Oreochromis niloticus: one gene and its partners. The main gene of each other region encodes a partner of the protein of the gene in region 2 in a complex. Links are inferred from orthologs where the notes say so. Each region holds a gene or a part of one and is shown on either strand. Other genes may lie near its edges. The genes, in order: stx16, tbc1d23 and fam91a1.

Region 1 (8,022 bases), on a different chromosome or scaffold from region 2:
CAGTACAAGAAGGAGACTGAACCTACACTTCGCACTTCTACCTACATTTTTTAGCCATTTCAGACACATATCGGATAAAGCGGTTGGAGCAGTTTCATTGAAGAAGAGACTAAAAAATTTGAACAGATATTGAGAAGACGCTCATTCGGTCACAAGAGATTGTCTGTAAATTTCTATTCCGTTCTTCACTGGCAGCTAATATCCTGCTGAGTAAAATGCTCATTACGACATTTTCACTGTGAATGGTTAACAGCGAACTAAATCTATCTGAGAAGAGATGATGGGTACAGAGATAAAGTCAAAAAACAGGTGTGCAGGCATGCAGAGGAGGTAGGGTTGGGATGGGAACCGTTCCAGTTGAGAACCAGCATTAAATTTTCTATTCCCCTGGAATCTTGTGCATCAGAGCTTAACAATGCCTTTCGTTAATGCTGACATGTTTTTCTGACAGCTGACAGCAAAGTGATTGGGCTGGAGTGTTTCCACGTGTGAGCCTTTTCTCTACTCTGGTTCTACACTGTGCTTGGACGAAGAGATTTTTTCAAGCAGAAAATTAATAAGGAATTAATATTTCAAAAAATCTTTATCAGTGTATGACCCAACACATTTCGGGAGTGTAACTATCCAAAGCCAAATTTCTGGGCTTTTTAACACCAGCTGTTCTGTAGATGAAACAAAATGCCAAGAACTGACTGAGTAATCTTTTTTTTTTGGTTCTTGGAAGGAAAAATAACAGACAGCGTATGACAAGCCATGTGCCCTATTAGGCATGAATCACCCTCCAAAAAAATGAAGCCACAGCAATGCTTCCATCTTCCTCACTCTGAGCTTGCTCCCTGTTGCTCCTGATCTAAACCCAAACAGGACACTCTTACAGAGAGGTAGTGTTGTTCCAGGAGCAACAGCCATTTAAAGGGCTCCACTCTCTAGATGTGCCTGAAGAAATCACTTGTGTTACTGAGAGATCAGCATTTCCACTTCGCTCGGTGCCACGGGGAGTGGCAGCTAAGTAACAAAGGTCGGTTTTGTTACTAAAAATTTTCCCCAAACAAATGCAGAATGTGTTAACCGTGATCTCTGGGCTTCCAGCGGGAAGAAACTAATCTACACCAGCGAGCCGGTAGCATGATAAAATGTTCACAGCAGAGTGTGAATATTCACGTGTAGCATACACCTGCCCGCTTTAAGAAGCTTCAAAACTGTGTCAGGGAAAGTAATGACTTTTTACTGCGGTGGAGTTTAACCTAAAAATATAAGTAGGTCATGGAAGAATTTTTAATTTCAGTTTGTTTGTTTTTTTGCATCAACATTAAATACAGTCTTTTTTTTTTTTAATCACTGCTAGTCAAAAAAAACATGCCAGCATTTAATGTTTTAGCTCTCCAGCAATGAGCTCCATGCAGTGGCTGCTGTTTTTAGAAAAAAAGAAACTAAATCATTATTCAGTGTCATGGAAATCACTATCAGAAAGAACAGCTCTGCTATAGAGGAACATATAACTATATTCTTCTTGTATCATGATCACTAAAAAGCCCACTTGCTTTTCATTATAACTGCATTATATAGACAAAAGTATCTGGCCACACTTCTTAATCATTGCTTTTATGAGCTTTGGCCCTGAACTCTTACTTCCAGAGAAGGGAAATCTGAATGCTCCAGCTTATCAGTTAATAAAAAAATCGGAAGCTGGAAGTTTAGAATTGTGCACCATGATAAAGTTCATATTCTGTTTCAGTATGACTGTGCTCTAGTGCACAAAGCATGGTTGGATGAGTTTGGTGAGGAAGAACCTCACTCGTCCACCTACACAGAGCACACTGAACTAGAAGAGAGACTGCAAGCAACCAACATCAGCGTCAGATGGCACAAGTGGCCTTCTGCTTAAATGGGCAAAGAGTCCACGTGTTGAAATGGAAAAGTGTAGCAATCAATTTAGAATGGGGTGTTATAAAAACTACTGAGAATGTAATATGTGGGTGGGTGGCCCAGTACTTCTGTCCATATAGTGTAATAATTAAAGTATAGATAATATTTCTCAGTGACAAACATTTTCTAGGAAGCTTTAAGAGCATTTTCATTGCCTTTGCTTTTCAAACTATTGTATTTATTTTTTTAATAACTGCAGAAGAGAATCAGCTGCACTCTAGATCATTTACAGGTCACGACTCAGTATGATGCGGACTTTTGAAAGGCCACAGCAGTTTTTTGTATTGTTTTTTTACAGTGAGGCGCACGAGAGGATGCTAAGAAAATGAAATCAACCATAACCCTCAGTTAACCTTGACCTAATTATATATATATATATATATATATATATATATATATATATATATATATATAAATATTCTTGTCATTTAAAAAGGGCGGTTATAGACATTTAACTAGCTAAAAGCATGCCTGCAACACTTCTTCATCCTCCTCCATCATCGCCTCACTGAGTCACATCACTGCGAACCACTGAAACACTAACGTCGTGGAGGTCGTTCAGGATAATAACTAACAGCAGCTATCACACAGCTGGATCTAGCTAACAGGGATCGGTGACTGGCTATATGCAAACACACACAGTAAAATGTCAAAACGATGCAGACCACTCACCGCAGCATTGCTACGTGTACTCAGACGGGGGTCGTATGTACTCACTTGCTCAGCCAATATCTGCCGGTTTTGGATTGCATTGTTCCGCATTAACAAGAAGGCATCTGTCAGACGCCTAGTGGCCATGACTGCCTTGACTGCGTGATAATCTAAATTAACAAGGGGACAAACTGCGGATCGAAAGATGCTTTATTAAATTGAGCCAACTGCCTCTGACCCGCTGCTAACACGGCGCTAGCTTTAGCTTTGCTTTGCTTTGCCTGCGATGAATGGTGAGGAAAACTCGCGATGCAGCGCCTACAGCGGGAGGCACACGGCCTGAATCATGTTGATCCGCTAACTCGCTCTAATACTGAGGTAAAGAAAACTAAACATGACCGAGACTTTCTGGTGAAATGTCCGCTTTAGCGTCAGACTGGTAACGTTGTTACTCCGCTTTAGGTAGCTACGGAAGTAGGAGAACGTAAACATCTGCGTAAACCAATTCTTCTTCTGCTCATTAACTGCGCTATCATCTGTAACGGAAGTGAGTCTACGCCACCTACCGCTTCAGCTGAGAACATCAGACAGAAGCGTTTCCAGGGCGGCACCAGGAGGTCCAAAACCTGTTAGGGAAATTGGAAATAAAAACCAAACAAAAGCACTTGAAAACTGGTTGTAAATTCAGTGAGTTTACATTAGGAGACATAACAGCCTAGCTGTAACATAGCGGCCTCCCTGAAGCACAAGGTTTAGCAGTCTTATACCGGGCTCATTGAAGACATAACAAAAAAGAGACTGCCACAAATTAAAAATTTTTACTGAGCCAATTTATTAATCATAATCTGAGAGAAGATGAACAAAAGAAAGCTAGGTGCTAACCTATAGACTTAAAATAGGAAAAACTATGACACATGCAAACGAAAAGAAAACCAAGTTGGCTGCCTGAAAGGCACCAGCCTTCTGGGGCGAGGAGAGTCATTCAGGTATCAGCAGCATTATACTGCAGCATATACTTGGATACAGCCAGGACAATGCTTGGCATATGACAAATACACAAGACTGGCAGTACAGATTAAAGGTTTTACAGTTTTACAACTATTTACTTTCATCTTTCATCTTGGATTGTTAAATTAGGGTTGCCAAGGCTGCTCTGACTTTCCAAGTAGGAAATCCGAGTTGTTGGTGTTCAAGCTTTCAAAAATCTAGAAACTTATTGTTTTCTATCAAGAATGAAAGCAACATAGAAAACAGGGTGTTACACCTCCTTATCCGGCTTTCAAAAACAAGAATTGGATTTAAAGTTTAAATTTAATGTGGCTTTTCCCTTACCCACACATTAGGCAATTTTTTTAGGGAATTTCTAAATGCCTCGAGTAAAGTCTTTCCCCCAACGTATTCATTTAAAATTGAGCTTTTTTTTTAGACTGAAAAGGAGAAATACTGGAAATGTGCTTACGTGGAGATTTACATATGTTTATACAGAGTAGAGTGTTATGCATCATGATGCTACCAAGGCACAGATTTTCCTCAGTTTGCACCTGAAAAGAACCACGCAACTTTATTTTGTTGGCTTCATGAGGGCACCTGTTTAATTCATCCTGAGGTACCATGAGTGTCTGTACCAACCTTTGAGTCAATCAGAGCAGGGCTGATATTTCAGAATGACTGATATTTGTCAAGTACTCTTTTACAGTGCACATTGTGAAAAATGCTTGAGATTTCTTTATAAATTGTGTAATAACTTGTGTAATTTGTTTCCCCAGTAGATGGGCTCTGTCTTACTGTTTACAATAATTTCAGCAGTTTCTGCAGTACATGTAGCAGAATAGCATCAACCAATAACGTGGTGGTGGGGAGGCATCTTCACTCAAAATAACTAGCACTGTGAAATTCATTGATAGAATCTGAAAACAATGCCCCTGTCATCTTTTCACTTTAACACTTTAACAATATGTATAAATATAATAAATATAAATATATAAACTTATATACTCGCCCATTCACTGCACTGCTACTCTTTTAAGCAAATATGTAATCATGCAATCACATGGCAACAACTCAATACACTTAGGAATCCAGACATGGTATGGTCAAAATTTGGTGTAAATAATCTGAAAGCATGGATCCATCCTGCCTTGTATTAGTGTGAGTTCATATATGTATAAGGATTTTATTATTTTCTAAATATTGGCATTGACTCCAAAACCCACTGGTAACACCAAAGAAAAAAGAACACCATTTAAACCAAGAACATTTAACAGTTTAACAGCTGCCCCCTCAATAAAAAGATCTCTCGACCCCACCAACGTCTGTCTGTGGCATAATGTCCACATGTGAGAGGTCCCGATTTACGATAAAAAGTCATGTTTTGCACCAGAAGTCATGATTTACAACAAAAAGTCAAAAGAACATTCAGGGTGGAAAACATACTGTGAACAGTCCACGCACAAGTGGGACTAAACTAAAAAACGACACGTGAAAGCCGCTTCACCGGTTTGTACTCTGAGTTTTCATTCATTCACACCTGCTCATGCATTCCGCTACTTTCTAACTTCCAGCCTGACAGCCGCAGTATTTAGATGTGTTGACCTGTAAGGGTACAATAGCGCTAACGAGTGTGCGCGCGTGCGCCTTTCTGTGCGCGCACGCGCTAGGCGGTGCCACTATTTGTAATTATGTCGCTAAAAGCTCCTCCTCCGCCCATTCTTAATCCCTTATCCGCTAATACCGCAGTAGACATTCACCCACAACTACCAGCTGCCGTCAAACAGCATAGCAGCGGTGTGTGCTGCTGGAGAAGCCCCGAGAGACTTTATTCGCTTCTTTTTTCCCCACCCTCCGTCCGAGGAGAGAGAGTCAAGGTAAGAAGCCTGTTAGAGTTCACGAGCACTCCTCCTCCTGTCCGAGCACCTGTGCAGCATTTCGAGAGCGGAACAAGTTAAAATATTATGTATATGTGTGTCTTTGTGTGTGTTGGTGTGTGTGTCAGCCTGTCTGACGTCCTGGCTTCACATTATAATCCTGTTTGATGGATGCCCCCTTTTAAAATGGGTCTTAATTGCTGCTTTGCTCATTAAACTGATGGGAAGTTAAAAAGTGGTTTTAGCCGGACAGGCACACCTGCACAACCAGAAAATCTACAGGCCAGTGTTACATCTACTCCTCCACTTCTCTGCTGCTGGCAGTTGATCGACAGTAGTCACAATCTGAAGCTCTTTATGTTATTAATTGTTACTTCTCAGCTATTCATCCCAAACTTTTCCCCATTCTCTATGTTTACAGGGTGATACGATCTGATTTTAACTACTCTTTCCTGGAAATCAGCAGTGGTCAGTTGAGCAATGTTGTTTTAATAGCAAGTTTTTGGTAGATTGGTATCCGTTAAGAAATGCTCCTTTGTGGCAGTCCCAGGAATGAAGGCAAACCAGTTCTGCTGACACAAAACACAGAACATGACGTAAAACATGTTACATGTATGGCTGCCTCCTAGTTTCTGCAGTCTCAATGGCCGGGTTAGTGCTGTATCTCGGTGCTGCCTGTGTTATCGACACCTCTGTGAATGTCCAGTCATTGTTCTCTCATTCTTCAGGCAGCTGACCGGGATGGCCTCCTCTGATGATACAGAAGGGTCTCTGACTCCTGTGGATTTTATCCAGCTGCAGCACTACATGGAAGGTAAGTTTCCATTTTCTACATTGTTTTTTAACCTGTAAGTAAAATAAACTGGAATAATAATCATAATAATAATAAAGTTGACATGTTTATTACAGATTAAAAATGTATATACAAATCCCTTTACACCAAGCACTTGATGCACACAAGATACACTATTGTGTATGTATCAAAGACATAAAACTAAAGCAGTGAGTGATTACTGAGGCCAAAGACGACAGCGTCCAGGACAGAATATTAAAACAATGTGTGCATTCAAACTGTAATTAGAGCCACGCAAGTCTCAAGTGCATTCTCACTAATAAAATGCAGTGTAACTCAATACTCTGGCAAATTTCCCTGTTAAATTAATAAAGCAGCAGTAGCTCAATATGCCATTTATTTCGCAGTGTCAGTTTATGACTGTAAATCTATTTAAAAAAAAAACCCATCCATGTACACTGAATTCAGCTTTCACTTTTCTGAGGATGAACTGGCCAGATGTGGCTATGATAGCTCTGCTCTCGATCTGTGTAACTGTCTTCCATCTAATCTCAACCCTAACACACAGACACTGGAAACCAAGTCACACATTTACAAAAAAGTGTAATTTTTACTTTATTTTACACTTTTGTTTCACTCCTTTTTAATGAATTAAATATCTGAGCACTAGACGATGTGAGAATAAATACTGGAAGTCTTCAGAACAATTTATGGAGGCAGTGAAACATAAGCAAGATAAGTGGAGACGGGAGTGTCACAGGCAAAGTCCAACAAAAATATGAAAAGTTAACTTCGTAGATCTAAGGCTGCAACACCTGTGCACTCTGCTCCTGCATGTAGGCGGAAATATTTCTGTTAAAATTGCAGTCGGGATCACTGCCTTACTTTAATGCTACTCATTCAGCATCCACCCCAAATCACAAGCAGCAACTCCCAAACATAAGTGCATGCTGTCCCTCTGCTGGGGCTGGAGCGAACGCAGAATGACATGCACATGTTGACAAAAAAAGTGTGCGCTAAAGGGCTGAAAATAATCCACTGTCCACTCAAAGGCTTTAGAAGAAATGAAATGGGTCTGTAGGCTTTTAGTGTTTGCACGCTGGATAATGGATGAATGGATAATTACACTTGCTCCTCTCCAGACCTGGGAAAGGTGCTGTGTGTGCATTACCTCACACTGCAAGGCCCAAACCCAGATTTAATGGCTGATAGTCACAGTGTATCCACATCTACAGCTACGTTTTGACCACTCTGATCTTCTCCCTGCAGAGAGCAATTTGAGGGTGAAAGATGTGATTAAGGAGTTTCATCCAGGCGGTCGGTTCTCTAAGCACAGCTTTGGAGAGGTAACTTTTTTAGGCAATCATATACTATATTTCCCATGTCAAATGTTCCTAATACACTACTTATTACAAACAAATCAAACATGAATTTATTAATATTTCTTATTAGTTGTAAAAGTTTGTTGTACCTCTCAATGTGCTTGATTAAAAACAGACAATCTTTTTAGGAAGCTTTCTACCACTTTTTTATGGCATTTTCTAAAAATCATAGTCAGATTGTCGCTATGAATGTAAATGTTTTATCCTTTTGCGTCATTTGGAAATAACTTCAACTTCTCTCTTCAGTGCGTCGATGCCGAGGGCTTCTGTCTCTTTCTCAAGACCTACTTAGAAGTGGAGGACTTCCCTGCAGATTTCTGCCAGCGGCTTTTTCGTTATTTCCAAAACGTGGAGCAAAACGGCTCCTCGAAGAGCCCTCAGCCCAAAGAAGGTGAAGACTTTTTAT
Region 2 (7,491 bases):
TTAACACATGAAATAGTAATACCATGTGTTTCTGTTCTGTTTTAATACTTATTTGCAGTCTTCTTTTTTTTTTTTGTCTGTAATACTTTATAGTAACAAAACTGCTTATCTTGATTTGGCCAACTCCTCACGATATGTATTCAAAATACCCATAAATCCTTACCATTTCCCAGATTTGTATGGAAATGTGGTTAATATGTGCAGTGATTTATTTTTAGTGAAAGCATTATAATCCTATTGGGATGGTATTTATGCCTGGCTGGCACGTTTTTACCAGTCCTCCTGTGTACTTCTCAGGCTTTGACTGATCAGCAGCAATTTGGAAAAGCCGATGAGATGTACGACAAGTGTATTGAACTGGAACCAGACAATGCTACAACATATGTCCACAAGGGGTAAGGGTTTCTCCCCTGTTATGTGGCCATATTGATCCATATAATATCTGATTTGTTTGTGTAAATGTGACATGTTGTTCACTCTGTCTCCAGTTTGTTGCAGCTTCAGTGGAAACAGGATCTCGACTTGGGTCTCGACCTCATCAGTAAGGCAATTGAGATCGACAACAAATGTGACTTTGCCTATGAAACCATGGGAACCATTGAAGTTCAAAGGTGAGTCACACAGTATCTGAGTGTTTATTCCCAGGGAGGATTTATCTGCTGCTTTGTAATGTTTTCAGTTGTACAAAGATAAAAATGGTAGCATGCTGGTATTTCTGTCAAGATGTTTTAGGGAGTCACATAGTGTGCTTTTTTTCTTCTTTATAAAACACTAATTGAGAGAAAGCAGTCAGCTGCTGTGCTGTGTGCTTTTGTGTTGCCCCTAAAGGAATATATTTGTACCATTTTGAACAGGCTGGTTGAAGTGTTACAAACCTCATGTTTGAGGTTTAAGGATCTGATTCTGACTTCAGGTGTGACAGAATCCTGGGGCTGGATGAGCCCTTGTTAATGTTATGACCCCTGGATCAACAGAGGGAAAGGAGGAATAGGAAATATTGTAATCCTGTAACCCGTCTCCTGCAGAGGGACTTGACTCTGTCTCAATCTAGACTTGCCCGTGGTGAGAGGCTGTGGGCTGGGGTGGGTATCTTAGTATCCCCTCAACTTGCTGCCTGTAAATTGGGCTTTTCTCGATTGACAAGAGGGGTTTTTTTCCCCCCTGAACCTTTGGGTCAGGGAATGGGTGCTGACTGTCATCTGCACTCACCTGAACAACAGTTCAGTGTATCCGGCCTTCTTCAAGCCCCTGGGGACTCTGTCATCTTACTGACAGACTTCAACGCTCATGTGGGTAACAACAGTGAGAGGGGCTGAGCTGTCAACTGATCACCACCTGGTGGTGAGTTGGATCATGTGATGGGGGAGGATGCTGGACAGACCTGACGTGCCTAATGTTATAGTGAGGGTGTGCTGGGAATGCCTGACAGAGGCCCCGGTCTGCGAGATCTTTAACTCCCATCTCCGGCAGAGCTTCAGCAGCAGTCTGAAAGAGACAGGAACAGACTGAGAGCGCCTCTATTGCTGAAGCTGCTGTACTAAGCTCTGGGTGCCTGTCGTGGGGCGTCTGGCCCATTGCTAGGAGCCATTCGATCTTTATACAATTGTTGCAAGAGCTTGGTGTGCATAGCTGACAATTTAGACGAACTCATTCTCGGTGGGTGTTAGACTCCACCACGGCTGCCCTTTGTCACTGATTCTGTTCATGATTTTATGGACAGAATTTCTAGGTGTAGCCAAGTGAAGGAAGGCTTCCACTTGGGCGGCCTCAGAATCTCATCTCTGCTTTTCTTAGATGATGTGGTTCTGTTGGCTTTAGCAGGTGGTGGCCTCCACCTCGCACTGCAGCAGTTCACAGCCGAGTGTGAAGTTGCAGCTCCCAAAAGAATGATTCCTCCAAGAACTTAATACTCTGATGACTGCAATGGAAACACATAGTCCCTGGGAAAAAATCCCTGTGGTGGTAAAAATGATCAAATCTACACATTTTTCGAGTGCTTGGTATAACTGGAGTGTTTTCTTTTCACAGGGGCAATCTTGACAAGGCGATAGAGATGTTCAACAAAGCAATTAACCTAGCGAAGTCAGAGATGGAGATGGCCCACTTATACTCGTTATGTGATGCCGCCTACGCCCAGACAGAAGTGGCGAGGAAGTACGGGCTGAAACCTCCGACGCTGTAACCGTTTTGCCAATGGATCGCCAATCTCAGTCTTCATTGCTGAATCTAACTGTGTTAAAAGTGCAACTGTCTGACTTAACTTTGATTTGTTAAAAAAATAAATACTGGATGATATGGGGGGAATTTAAAAAAAGAAAAAAAGGAAGAACCCTGAATATATACTGTGTTTACGTCACATTAAAGGGGATTATTTTCATGCAAACCGGATTCGTACTCACAGTCAAACTGAGGCTATGATCGTGGTCTCTGGTAGACTCAGTGGTTTATCATGATGTGGGCTGGGCTGGGCTGGGGGTGGGTGGGGGGTATTTTAACGAACACCGCCCTTTTTGCTGACACTTAATTCCACAATGGCATCATCGTCAAATCTTTGATTTTTATGGCTCAGAATGAAAATAAAGGTTGTCATTTATGGAGGGAAAGTGTACATGAGTGAGATGTATACTTGTCAGAAGATTTAGAGAGAATTGAAATGTCCAGTCTGTTGAACCCACAAGCGTTTTGAGACACTTTTAAATCTACAGACAATACTGTGAGAGCTATATAGTTCCAGTGGACTGTTCACTTGTTAATTTATGCTGGTCTAAAGTGTTTTTGTCCACCTACTCCCATATTGTAACATACAGTATCAGTTCTGAATGCAAGATTAAAATTATAGTCAAATGTACAATGTCTGTATTGAAATGCTGGAGTTGATCCCGGGATAAAAGCCTACAGAGTTTAGGCAAAGTTGGTCTTTTTTTTTCTTTTGTTTTAAATGGTGGGATTGCCTGTTTTCTTTTTTATATACTTTGTGCAGCATGTTCACTTTATAAATAAATGTAAATGCAATGCTCGTGCTGTCTTGAACACTAGGAAAACCCTTTTTCAGGCTTTTGGTTTTTTTGAAAACACTGATTAGACAAACTTAGCCAACTTTGTTTTTAGTTTTTTTCTTCTTCTTTTTTTTAAATGTTGTATTTGGAGTTGCCTCTAGTGTCAGAACGGTATTCAGTGGTTTTTCCCCAGCTCATGTTAATTGGGAAACCTGATTCTTTTTCTAGTTTCTGTGAATTTTTTTTCTTCATGCTACATTTCCTTTTACTTTTGACAGAATATTTTACATAGTGGTTTAATTCTAATTTGCTTTTTTCATCTCTCCTTTTCAAACAACCCGAGCCTTATCGTCTCCAGCCTATGCAGCTCTGAGAATCTCTTGGTACGGTGTGTGGTTTGGTTCTCAAGTAGCATCTGTGCACCACTGATGATTGTACATCTGGAGCATTTTTTTTTTTTTAAAAAGCATTGAAAAGCTCCCGTTCTCTGTGACATTCATTAGTTTCACGCCCAGTAAACTATCACTGCATGTGTGGTGATGCCAAGGAACCAAATCATGCATTGTGAGCTGCAGCTGGTGAGACTGACTCCAACTAAAACCATATTTACTTAACCTTCAGAACATGGATGTGACCTAGATTTTGGCTGTTTGATATAAAATACACTGACATTCTGCATCTACCATACGTGTGGTGACCAAAGTGAAAGAGAATGAGTCCTAATAAAGTTATAATTCTTGGATTGAATTTTGCATCTGATCATTTCTGTTCACCCGGATTGTGCAGCACATTGTTTTTAAATCCCTGTAGTTAGAAACGAAATTTTGTTCTGATTATCTGAAACTTTGATATAATTTTACAGTTTTTCTGATTTTCTTGCTAAGTAGCACACGTAAGTATTAAAGATATGTCTATTGAACAGACTTTATAGGGTGATTTCATAGCATTTCCTAAAAGGCCTCACACCTGACCTTCCCAGATTTCTTAAATAGGAATTTTGCAAACTTTCAAGCCCCTACTGTGAGGAATTTTATGAAGATAGGGCTGATTTTAGATCTTTTTCTGAGGGGCCATTTTAAAATCGCTAATCTATAAAAAACACTTAAGCGTGACCTTACAGGTGCTTTAGGATAAATCTCCTGCACCATAAATATGAATATGGACTCTTGGGACTAAGTAACTAAGTAATTAATTACTTTTGAAAATAAGTAATCAGTAAAGTAACGGGATTACTTTTTGGGGGAAGTAATCAGTAATTAGTAACTGATTACTTTTTTCAAGTAACTTGACCAACACTGGAAGTCAGCACATGTTGATGATGTTTTCTGTTTTTCTCTGTTTGTTGATCAATTATTAACTTTTTAGCGCCCCAAATCAAAGCAAACAAGTAGTTGTCTCATCAGTTTCTTAGTCGCACTTTGATTTCACTTGTCAATCTCGGTTCCTCGTTGTTCGTTGACGTCACCGCGCATACCGGGCGTGTTGACGACATCTGACGTGTCTCCGTCAACACAACAATGGCGGATGCCGTGGAGGAAGCTCTTCAGGGCAGCTGGTGAGACAATTTGTTGTTGAGTTAATATTTCCGGAGCCTTTGTCTCGATTGTCAGACAATCGCGTCGAATTTTTGTCACAGATTTCCGTGTAAAGTAACTAAAGATGAGTTTTTGTGCTCTAAATAGTGTTGGAGTTTGGTGACGTTACTGCTTACCAGCTAGCCAGCTAAATGACAATTAGCTAACCCGGCTCTGATAAATTAACGGTCGATAAATCTCAGACAGATAAAATAACAGCTTTTAAGTCTGTTCGGTGACGAAGTCTACATTTTTGTCGGTTTCTCTACCTCAGTGGGAAGTTTAGTAGCAAAGGATGTTAGCCGGACAGCTAATATTTAGGCGGACAGCCGCTTCCCTTTAATCTACTCCAGCCTCACTCTGTTGTTCAAAATTTATTTTACACTGAAATATTGAAAAGTGCTGGTTATATCTAAACACTTTTAAAGCAGCTGCCATTAAGATGGTTAGCATCGTGAAAGCGGTCTTCATGTGTCAGATTAAAGGACAAACCTGAACTATGGACCTCCTGCAGAGAGGGCTCTGTTGGTGCGTGTCCATTCAGATCTATCGTGAAATGTTTCTACTTTGTTAAGAAAGATCTCTTCTGTGACACTGCCATTTGTCATAGTGCACAAGGGGTCACTGAGGAGTTCCATGAGTATATATGTGTATATATACAGTCATCGGAGATTTTGAACAAATGCGTTAGACACTGTTCTTTTCCGCCTTCATCAAAACGCCAGATGAGGAAATATCTAAAAATGGTGTTCATCTCTTTAGAGATTTGGAGAACCAACACACAGATTCACAGGGAAGCTGTCCTGACCTGATGTTGCTTTTTATGATGTTGCTGTATTGTTTTCCTCTTGAGTTTGTCACCTGTCTGTATGCTGAGTTAAATTAACATGGGTTTAAAAAAAGATTAAGATGTAAATTAAGAGCAATAAACAACACAGGGCATTTAGTAAAAGCTGACATAATTTACATAATTACACAGATGTGAATAATGATTGAGTTAAATATGAATTTAACAATAATGCATGTTGTTAACCCTGTTGCCTCACAGCAAGAAAGTCATGGATTTGAATCCACCATCTGCCCGGGGTCTTTCTTTGTGTTTGCATGTTCTCTGTGTCTGTCTGAGTTACTACTCTCGCTTCAACAGTTAGGTTAACTGCTGATTCTAAAGGTGTAAATATGTGTGTGAATGGTTGTCTAATGTCTTTGTTAGCCTTGCGACAAACTAGCGACCTGTCCATTGTGTACCCCACTTCTTGCTCTATAACAACTGGGATACACTGCAGCCCCCTCAGGAAGATGGATGTATGGATGTATGAAGATGGATGGGCAGTACAACACAATTTTGAAGACTGGCAGTTTTGTCGTTTATAGTGGTATTATTAGTAATAATATTGTTTCTGCATCAGTGAGCCTTTGTATGGGTTTACTCTGAATCTTGGCATAATAATTTACCTTAAAATGAACTCTTCAAATCTCATGTTTTGTTTTCAGCCTATGAACTTTTCTCTTTATATTTTGTGGGATTGTAACTGTGCCGTTCGTTGCTCTTCAGGGACCAGGACCTCGTTGACGCACTTGACTCTGGTGGCTCAGACATGGAGATGGAGAGGGGCACCATCCAGGTCCAGGAGCAGTCAGCTGAACACAGGGCAAAGATGTGGAAGGTGAGAAAGTTGCAGCTGTTAGATTGTGGTTTCAAACAGTTCTTAGACATGTACAACATACTTTGTACGTCTATGGACAGAAGCCAAGAATTCTTACGTTAAGGTGTGAGTAGACTGGATCATCTCTTATTGGCACACCCAAAGAAAAGACTTCACTTATGTCTTACATCACATAACAAGAGTCAGTATTGTATGTCAAGCATGTGGATGACAATAATGATGCTACTTATAGGTTACTGGTGACTGACTCGTCTTGGCTTTGCATGCAAAATACCAGCCTGTGAAAAGACACGTTATCGGCTACACCCAATTGTAAAGCAGCTTTGAATGGGATGTTTATTGTGTCTGATAATAGGCTGTTTGATAATATCATTAGGAGACCTTATCTTTTAGTCACTGTGTAAAGTTCAGAGAGCCTTTAATTTTACACCTCATAAAATTGAATAATTTGGTTTATTAAAAAAAGTTCAAATAATGCTTAAATTAATCAAACAAAAAAGTACAAAGGTGTTTATCAGTGCAGGAGAGCAGATATAAGATTTCTTTTTTCACTTTAGGAAAACCTTAAAAATGAGAATAATGTAGGTGCAGTTTCTGTTGTTTGTGTCAAATTCTGAAAACATTCTGACCTAAAAGTAAAAAATTTGCACTTTGCTTTCATTTTCAGATTCTTCAATTGCTCCATTAATCATCATATAAATCATAGACTGTAAACTGAAATTCACTTGGGGCCACATGTGAAATGACAAAAAATATCATGGGCCAGACATTTACATTTTATTGATATGTTATATAATTGTTTATTTATTTATATTTAAAGCTAAGCACTCCGTTTACCAAAACAAAGTAATGGATTCTGATTTTAAACAACCTGTTTCACAAGCCTGAATATAACAACTCTGTGGAGTGGGCATCTGTTTTGTGATAGCACATCTAAGCCAAAATTCCTAGACCTCCTCCTCACCAGTCACTTTCTTTAGCTCCTCTGGGAGTCCTGGGTCTGCCTGAGGGTCATCTCCTAGTTGGACATGCCTAAAACCGATGACATGTCCAGGAGGTATCCTGCTCAGATGCCCAGATTACCTCAAAAGGCTCCCTTAGAGCAGTCGGCCGTCAAAAAGAAGAAAGCTCATTTCTACCATTTGTATCTGCAGTCTCATTCTGATCATAGGTGAGAGTGGGAATGCAGATTGACCAGTTAATCAACTACATTCCCTTCATTGTCAGGTTTCTCTTTAACACAACAGACTGGTA
Region 3 (7,272 bases), on a different chromosome or scaffold from region 2:
ATTCTCTAAAGCTACACAATGTCTTATGACGTCCTCAATCTTACCTTTTAGGTTAAAAATGAACTAACACACAATCATTGTAGCCAATGACAATACACCCATTTATCCTTTATGCAGGCTGACCATAATAATCCAGCACATCTACTCAGGTGTACCAAACAATGCCGTATACTCGTACTATTCATGCAACAAAAGCACATTGAACTAAACAGCTGGGAGCTGTGAAAAGCTCAGATCCCTCTACTTGTATTGGTCTTTTGGATTCCTTGTTTTGTCCCTGCAGTTCCTGCACTCATTCCCAGGGATGCCAAAAACTGAAGACATTGTTCATTTTAAATGAGCAGAGACTGCATGTTTTCAGTCAATAAGAAAACCTTTGCCGTTGAACAATAAGTATGTCTGCTCTGTTCTTCTGGGTTTACCTGCCTCATTGTTCTAAAACCAACGGGAACTGACAGAACGACAGATGTTCAGGTGTACGAGAGGCTGTTCACAGAGATTATGATAATGGGAGCAAAGTTAATGCTCTGGTATTGCACTCTTCAACGCAGCATGAGTTGCTTACCTCCATGATTCCTATGTAATACGAGAACGGAGTGACTCGTAGCCCTTTGACCATGATGTCAGACAGGTGGTAGGGGTACAGCATCAGGTGGTCCCGGCTGTACTTCAGAAGCTCCTCATAATATTTGCGCTCATCCTTCCTCACATGGCGCACTGCTCAGAAAACAAACAGCAGTCAGAGTGCACATACAGAAATGATCTCAACATCAACATCACTAAAGTGATTCGATGTAATACATAATGCACTTTATTATACAGGTACATACACATGTTTAGCCACTGTATGATTATTAACAGTACAAGTATTTTCAGTTGTATATTACCTTTTCAGGACAAATATGAAGGATAATCCTATGATCAACACCAAAGGCAGAACAAAACATGGACAGAGCTAATAAGACATCACCCACAGGTGAGTGAAGTCCCATTTTTAACCCTTGAGCTTACTGTTTTTGCTGTAACTTTTTTTGAAACCTGACATAATGAGTGAAAGTTAGTTCTAACTGGGAACCAGAGGACACTGCATGCTCACTCGCTAACTGACAAGCAGGATCCAATAGCCGTGCCCTGGTTTATCCTCCTAATTATGACCATAATTTACAAAATAAACATTGTGTTTTGCTGAATTTGCTTTGAAAGCAGAGAGTGGGATTACAGTTCCATCAGAGAAGTGTTTACTGAGGTCACAGAGCCATGAAGCTTAGTGCTGTTTTCCCATAGACTTTTATAAAATCAGAAGTCTTACTGCAATGATAAAATGGCACTAGGGTATGTTTCTCTGCAAGGTGGTATGGTGAGAAAGTTTTTGCCCATCATCAAGCACTCTCTGGTGGGGTTATATTTATCCTGCCACAAACCGCTGTCTGTCTTTTAATCTAACACTCAAACATCATGTCGCTCACACTGTATGTTTACCACTGCTGTGTGTGGGGGGGGGTAATATTGCTCACCTAGGTTATTGCGGAATCGCAGCTGGTTGCGGATGCTGTACAGGAGCACTTGCTTCTCATACTCGCGCTGAGAGTTCCCCAAACTCTGCAGAGAAAGGAAAATGAACAGGTGAGACCACATTAATGTGCCAGGGGGTGAAACCAAACAGTGCCTCTTTTAAACCTCCTGTTCTCCAGCTGTCTGTGAAATATTTTTCCATACTGGAATATTTGCTGCTATTAGATGTGATGTCATATGTGTTGAGAAACGTGTGAAACCATATTAATTGCAAAGATGCAATGAGGGATTTGAATTTGACACAGGCTAGGAGGCAGGTAATAAAACAAGAAGCATCATCTTGAGCTTGATTTTGCGCTTTGGTAGCGCATACCTACAGCCTACAGCATACTTCTAGTTACTTACAAGGCCAATACACCGGTTGGTATTGGACCAATAATGACCTTAAGCAGATCAGATATCAGCAATAACCTGTCTGATCCTCACTGAACAGTTTATGTGTCAAAGTCATGATGTAATCCACAGGTTTTAGAGCCACGGTAGCCCCTGGATTCATGTTAACTCACACAAAAAATGAGCAAAGATATTTTAAATTAAATAAAAATTAACAATGGAATTGGGGCATAAGCTCAATATTGTATCTGAAGCTGTTTTGAGAGAGAGAAAACTTGTTATATTGTGCACATCAGGCCAGATGTGTACACCAGGGGCCCCTGGAGTCTCACTGTTTCTGATGAGTAATCCAACTTTTCAGAGGGTGCATGAGGATGCAGCAGCTCAAACAGCTCATCCACCCACCTCCTCTTCACCGAGACATGTTGGCGTAGTGGCACAAGAAGAGAAGGGGGGTCATGCATTTTACTGACTAACTGTAACAGCACATTTCAATAGCATTAAATGCACCAGGCACAACTACGTAAAAGCCGTATGTGCGGGTGCCATACACGCTCTAAAATCATGTGGTGCCCCCCACCCCCACCCAATCAAACAAACTGTCATGTGATGCCAGTGTGGCTTCAGTAGCTGGAGTGTAATGATGGTCAGTTATGGCTCCGGCTGGATGGTGAAGCCCCTGCAGAGGACGGGGAGCGAGCAGTGCGACACTGACAGCTGCCAGTATGACAGAGAGCAGCCCCGGTGACATTGACAGGTTCCCCTTGCGGTGTCCCCCCTCTCTCCGTACCCACAGGAAACGTTAGAAGTCGGTACCTGTTTGACGTTAGCTGGGAGCTTGTTCCACGGGTAATTCTGCCTGATGTGAAATTCCACGTCCGTGTTCATCGCTAGCTAGCTAGCTGGCTACAAGCAGAATTCCTCGAGACGATCGGAAACGGGCTCTCGGGAAAGTCCACGGTGACCTCGTCCCCCCCGGACACCCAGCAACCGAGCGAAGGGACCCCCGGTTTTAGGAGATTTTTTTTCTCCAGCGATTATTTTCCTTCACAATAAACCGTAACTTCCTTGTTGTATTTTCGAAAGAGCCGTTCGTCACGCTCGTGGCTACTTTCGTCACTTCCTGTTAAGGAGTGACCGTGGAGCTGAATGGAGCTGGAGAGAGCGGGGTTTCAAATGAGAGATGATGTTAGCGCCGTCCGAATCAATGGTTTATCCTTAAAGTGCGATTATTACTGCATTATTAATTTTTTAGCATTTTTAGCACTCGTGGAGCATTTTCCACCCCCACAGCAGCCTGTTTTATTCCTAATGAAGACGTGAAGCTTTAAAACCAGAGAGTCAGGGCCGTGTCTGACTGACTGGATGGGCCACTTTGACTGGGGAGTGCAGCATAACATAATTTGTTTTAATAAGTCTCATTTGAGGTCATGCTCAAGCTGTCTTTAAAGCAGTGCTTTAAAGCTTTAAAGCAATAACCTTCTTAGTTCCACAGAGACAATAATAACCAAATAATAATAATAACCAAATAATTAACATGGGCTTTGTTGTTACTTTGTTGTTACTACGATAACATGTGTTAAAATTTTCATGACTAAACCATATGACTTTAGTGTCAGAAAAAATCAGCTGAGAGGCACAGTGACATTTTTGGATGGGCCTCCATCCCCCAGAGCCCGTCCATATCACTGATGATGCAGAAAATATATTCTTTTGTTTGAGGGAAAAGTCTAAGGAATAGTCTAAACCTGCAGGGCTCTGCAAGTTTTTGGAATCCTGCACAAACTGGAGTAAATATTATATATGTCTGTAGGCTATGAGCATATTTTTCACACTCACACTGTGAGTATTTGCATTTAGTGTGGGGCATAATATTGATACAGCAGTATCTTATTATTGCTTCCTCTTTGTTAGCTTGGGGGGGGGGGGGGGGGGGGGGGGGGGGGGGGGGGGGGGGCATTACTGAAATATAAAAATTATGATAATACACACAGACACAGATATTTTGATGTAGCATATAACAATACTATAGGTGTTGATAAATGGTCTGGTACATATACATTTATATTATTTCTAACCAATTTCAGTACTCATAACACTTTTTTCTACAAGTCTCCCCTGTGTATCAAACATTCACATTCACAAACTGTGGGCAACATGTTGTCATAGTATCATCGTCCCACTTATGACCAACTATAGCTTCACAGAAAGACAATACAATAAAACACAGTGCAATACTTGCAGATAAATTTGGTTAAAAACATAAATTATCTCATTTAATCTCCTGTTCTACCTGCATGTTCTACATGCAAACTGTCAGGTTTGCATCTGCACAACTCTGGATTGGTGGTTTAACTACACAGTCATCTTTAACACAGGGCGTTATAATTAGGTTAAGTAGCTGGAAATGCTGCCATCGTTTCCCTGTGAGACATAAAAGTGCAAAGCCAAAATGATCTATTAAAACACTTCTATCACCTGGACTACGTTTTGGAAAAGAAATTCATTCATTTTTTAGGTCCTCCAATCTGTCTTTCTCTCATTTTCACACCATAAAAAAGCCCTTAGTGTGATAATATACCTTCTGTCCCAGTAGGTCTGTTATCATATCTTCATTCTGGTCAGAAAATATATACAGTATATTTCAATATTTCAGTGAGTGGTTAATGTGATCATTATTCAGCAGCAGAAACAAAAGCAAAATTCAGGTTTGAAACCGGTATGATTAACTAAAAATAGAAAATCATAAATCTGTCCCTGCACCTTGACCTGGAGTTTTTACGAGTTGTTTTTTGTTTGATTTGCAGTTTTGTTCTTACAGGAATCCGACCTGTAAGCATGAAACTATCACTTAGTGACTGGTGATTCAGTGTAAGATTTCACTGCAACACCAAAGTGGCTTCTGCTCTTGGGTCATGATATCTGGCTTGCTGACAGCTCACTTTCTTGCAGCTATGTCATTCAATCTGCCTGCACGTAACTTCAGTTCCCTGTCATATGCCGCTAAGCAAACATGACAGTAATTCATCTCCCTGGCAGACAACCGGCATAACTCCATGGAGTGCAGAAAGGGGCTGCAGATTGAGAATCCTCATGACATTATAGCTCACAGATAATATAAGGAAAAGAAGGTTTAAATGTCTCTGTAAAGTCACACAAGATTGATTTGAAAAAATATCACAACAGGCTCAATCTGATCTCTGAAGGAAAGGAAATCTTTGCAGCCTATTTCTGTAACAGTGTTCCCCAGCCTTCTTTGGCGTGTGATCTCTTAAAATAAAGCGTTGTCTGCTTGTGAAACACCTCATCTAAGGCTACAGTATGATATAAAAGCTGTGAAAACACACATTGTTTCTAAACTAGAAGCATAGAGGTGGAAGAATAGTGTTTCCTTTTTTTTAATTAAATATACATTTTTAAAAATATACTGTTAAAGTTCTCCATAGTCTCAAGGCTTTAATGTGCAGGGGTTAAAGTGGGATTTAACAGCAAGGGGAAGCCTAAGTATGATCTGCTGTAGCCATGCAACAGCAAACAATGACTCACCTTAAAATAAATACCTAACCTGATTACTGCTGTGAGCTGCAGAGGACATATTTGCTTTGTGAACAGCGATCAGACCTTCTGTAACCCTGAGCTTTACTCCTCTGCGTGTGTTTAATGTAAATAATAAAAAGGAAAGGAAACAAGCTGTCAACTTTATTTACATTTCAAACCATCTGACATGATGTCTTCTCACAGCAGCAGCAGCTTGTTTTATTAATAAAATAATGTCTAATAATCAATTTTTTAAATTTCTTACAACAGCTATTCTTTATGTACTGATCATGTAATTCCTCTAGAGACAGTACTTATTATTGTAAGACTCACTCACACTCTGAGTACACACGGGGGAGTCACAAAAAGTGATTAACTAATAAACTGCTTGTAATTTTATGAGCCTCACAGTTAACTCTCCTCCTGCTAATGCACTGAGGTCCAGGCCTCAACTTTCAGAGTCACCGATCGCTATCAACAAAACACTTCTCTGTAATGTATTACGTCCTTTTAAATTTGCATGTATTTTTGAAAGTAGTAAATGCTGATCCTAGTAGTTTTTGGTCTGTTTTTCAAAAATAGGCTGGCAGATGTTTATGTACTAAAAATGAGTGACTGTAGCCCGTTGCTAGGTGATTGCCAGGCATGTAGTTCAGCTTTTTTGGATGTAAGTTATGTACTGTCATGAAATTAAAAAGAAGAAAGAATGGTTTCATAAGGTGCTACAGGTGCACAAATGCTACAAAACAGGTAGCCTGCATTTTTTTGCATCATTTTATACTCATTATGCATAATTAAACTTTTGTGGATAGAAATTAGATGATACTGATGTGAAATAAAAATTATATGACGCTTTTATAAGCTGTTAGAGATACATAACTGCTAATAATGGGTCGTTTTGGCCAGTTGCTATGTGGTTGTCAGGCAACATAATGACATCATTACACATAATTCAGCTTTTTTGGATAGAAATTAGATGTTACTGATGCGAAATAAAAATTATATGACGCTTTTATAAGGTGTTACAGGTGCATAAATGCCGGTAATGAGTCATTTTAGCCATCATGTTGCCAAGCAACCTGGCAACATGATGACATCATGATATCTGATATAAATGTGGACCTCCATGGGCCTAAAATGTACCTGTGCCCCACGTTTGGTTGCTCAACTTTTAAAGGTATGGCAAATACTTCTTGATGATTTGACACACACAGTGCAACGAGTTAACTGTCAAACAGGTGATTAATAGCAACAGTGGTCACGTCCAGTTGTGCACGTTCATGGACACAAACAGAAACACCACCACACCTATAAAACTGAGCCCAGTTCTTACAGCTGTTTCTCCTGATCAAAGTGACCCATCAGCACCTTTCTATATTTGACTACATCCTGGGTTACACACATGAGGAAGGGGGAAGAGGAGGAGGAGGGATGAACTTGGACGGCACTAGAAGATGGACAAGGTTTAGCAGCTCGGGGACACTTTGATGAAAGACCAGCCTGGGTGGGAACAATGGCTGAGTCAGGACCCTGTGATGGTTCCCCTTCCTGCGGCTATTGTAAACACTCCCTCCGCTGGACCCTGGCTGAGTTGTTAAGCTGGCAGCTGGGTACCAAACAGCGCTGTGTCACATGAGAGGCCCGGCTGGAGTCACAGTGGCCCAGGATACTATTCTTAGCTGTAGGAATGTACACAGTGGCCTCATGGCAATCTCCACAGCGCCTAACTGGAAACCCTTCCCTGAGTCACTACCCATTTTCTCTCTGGGTAATGCTTAAACTGTCTTTCATTTGGAATTAATCCTTTTTTTTTATCTCAAGACTGACAAC

What was found.
Region 1: the proteins of tbc1d23 (region 2) and stx16 are in contact, whole or in part, in a crystal structure (PDB 8QQF), measured with the Homo sapiens proteins. The link is inferred for Oreochromis niloticus from reciprocal best matches to the Homo sapiens genes TBC1D23 and STX16. Residues at the interface, in NP_001186127.1 of Homo sapiens: Leu638, Asn639, Ser640, Val641, Val642, Lys643, Ile644, Thr645, Ser646, Lys647, Lys648, Ser661, Ser662, Ala663, Ile666, Thr683, Lys687, Ile690, Met691; in NP_001001433.1 of Homo sapiens: Asp209, Asp210, Asn211, Thr212, Leu213, Tyr214, His215, Arg216, Phe218, Thr219, Glu220.
Region 3: the proteins of tbc1d23 (region 2) and fam91a1 are in contact, whole or in part, in a crystal structure (PDB 8JJ9), measured with the Homo sapiens proteins. The link is inferred for Oreochromis niloticus from reciprocal best matches to the Homo sapiens genes TBC1D23 and FAM91A1. Residues at the interface, in NP_001186127.1 of Homo sapiens: Arg533, His534, Val535, Ser536, Ser537, Asp539, Val541, Gly542, Lys543, Pro544, Tyr545, Arg546, Val548, Pro550, Val551, Phe552; in NP_659400.3 of Homo sapiens: Arg49, Glu60, Arg61, Tyr64, Asp84, Ile85, Lys88, Gly89, Leu90, Arg91, Ile92, Thr93, Phe95, Ser96, Ile159, Pro161, Tyr176, Ile177, Thr178, Glu179, Asp181, Ile182, Lys190, Asp194, Ile197, Asp198, Tyr216, Asn217, Lys218, Gly219.

The regions. Positions count from the first base shown.
Region 1 is NC_031970.2:24,759,273-24,767,294, forward strand, and holds the start of stx16 (syntaxin-16), read right to left. Parts: upstream 3,090-8,022; 5' UTR 2,725-3,089; coding exon 2,599-2,724; intron 1-2,598. Other genes in the region: dgkab (diacylglycerol kinase, alpha b), read left to right, coding at 6,170-6,255, 7,504-7,580, 7,863-8,007. UniProt on the Homo sapiens protein: SNARE involved in vesicular transport from the late endosomes to the trans-Golgi network.
Region 2 is NC_031980.2:37,092,938-37,100,428, forward strand, and holds the start of tbc1d23 (TBC1 domain family member 23), read left to right. Parts: upstream 1-4,397; 5' UTR 4,398-4,513; coding exon 4,514-4,551; intron 4,552-6,125; coding exon 6,126-6,237; intron 6,238-7,491. Other genes in the region: tomm70a (mitochondrial import receptor subunit TOM70), read left to right, coding at 298-395, 489-611, 2,029-2,182. UniProt on the Homo sapiens protein: Putative Rab GTPase-activating protein which plays a role in vesicular trafficking. Involved in endosome-to-Golgi trafficking.
Region 3 is NC_031985.2:21,449,131-21,456,402, reverse strand, and holds the start of fam91a1 (protein FAM91A1), read right to left. Parts: upstream 3,039-7,272; 5' UTR 2,794-3,038; coding exon 2,722-2,793; intron 1,600-2,721; coding exon 1,515-1,599; intron 718-1,514; coding exon 566-717; intron 1-565. UniProt on the Homo sapiens protein: As component of the WDR11 complex acts together with TBC1D23 to facilitate the golgin-mediated capture of vesicles generated using AP-1.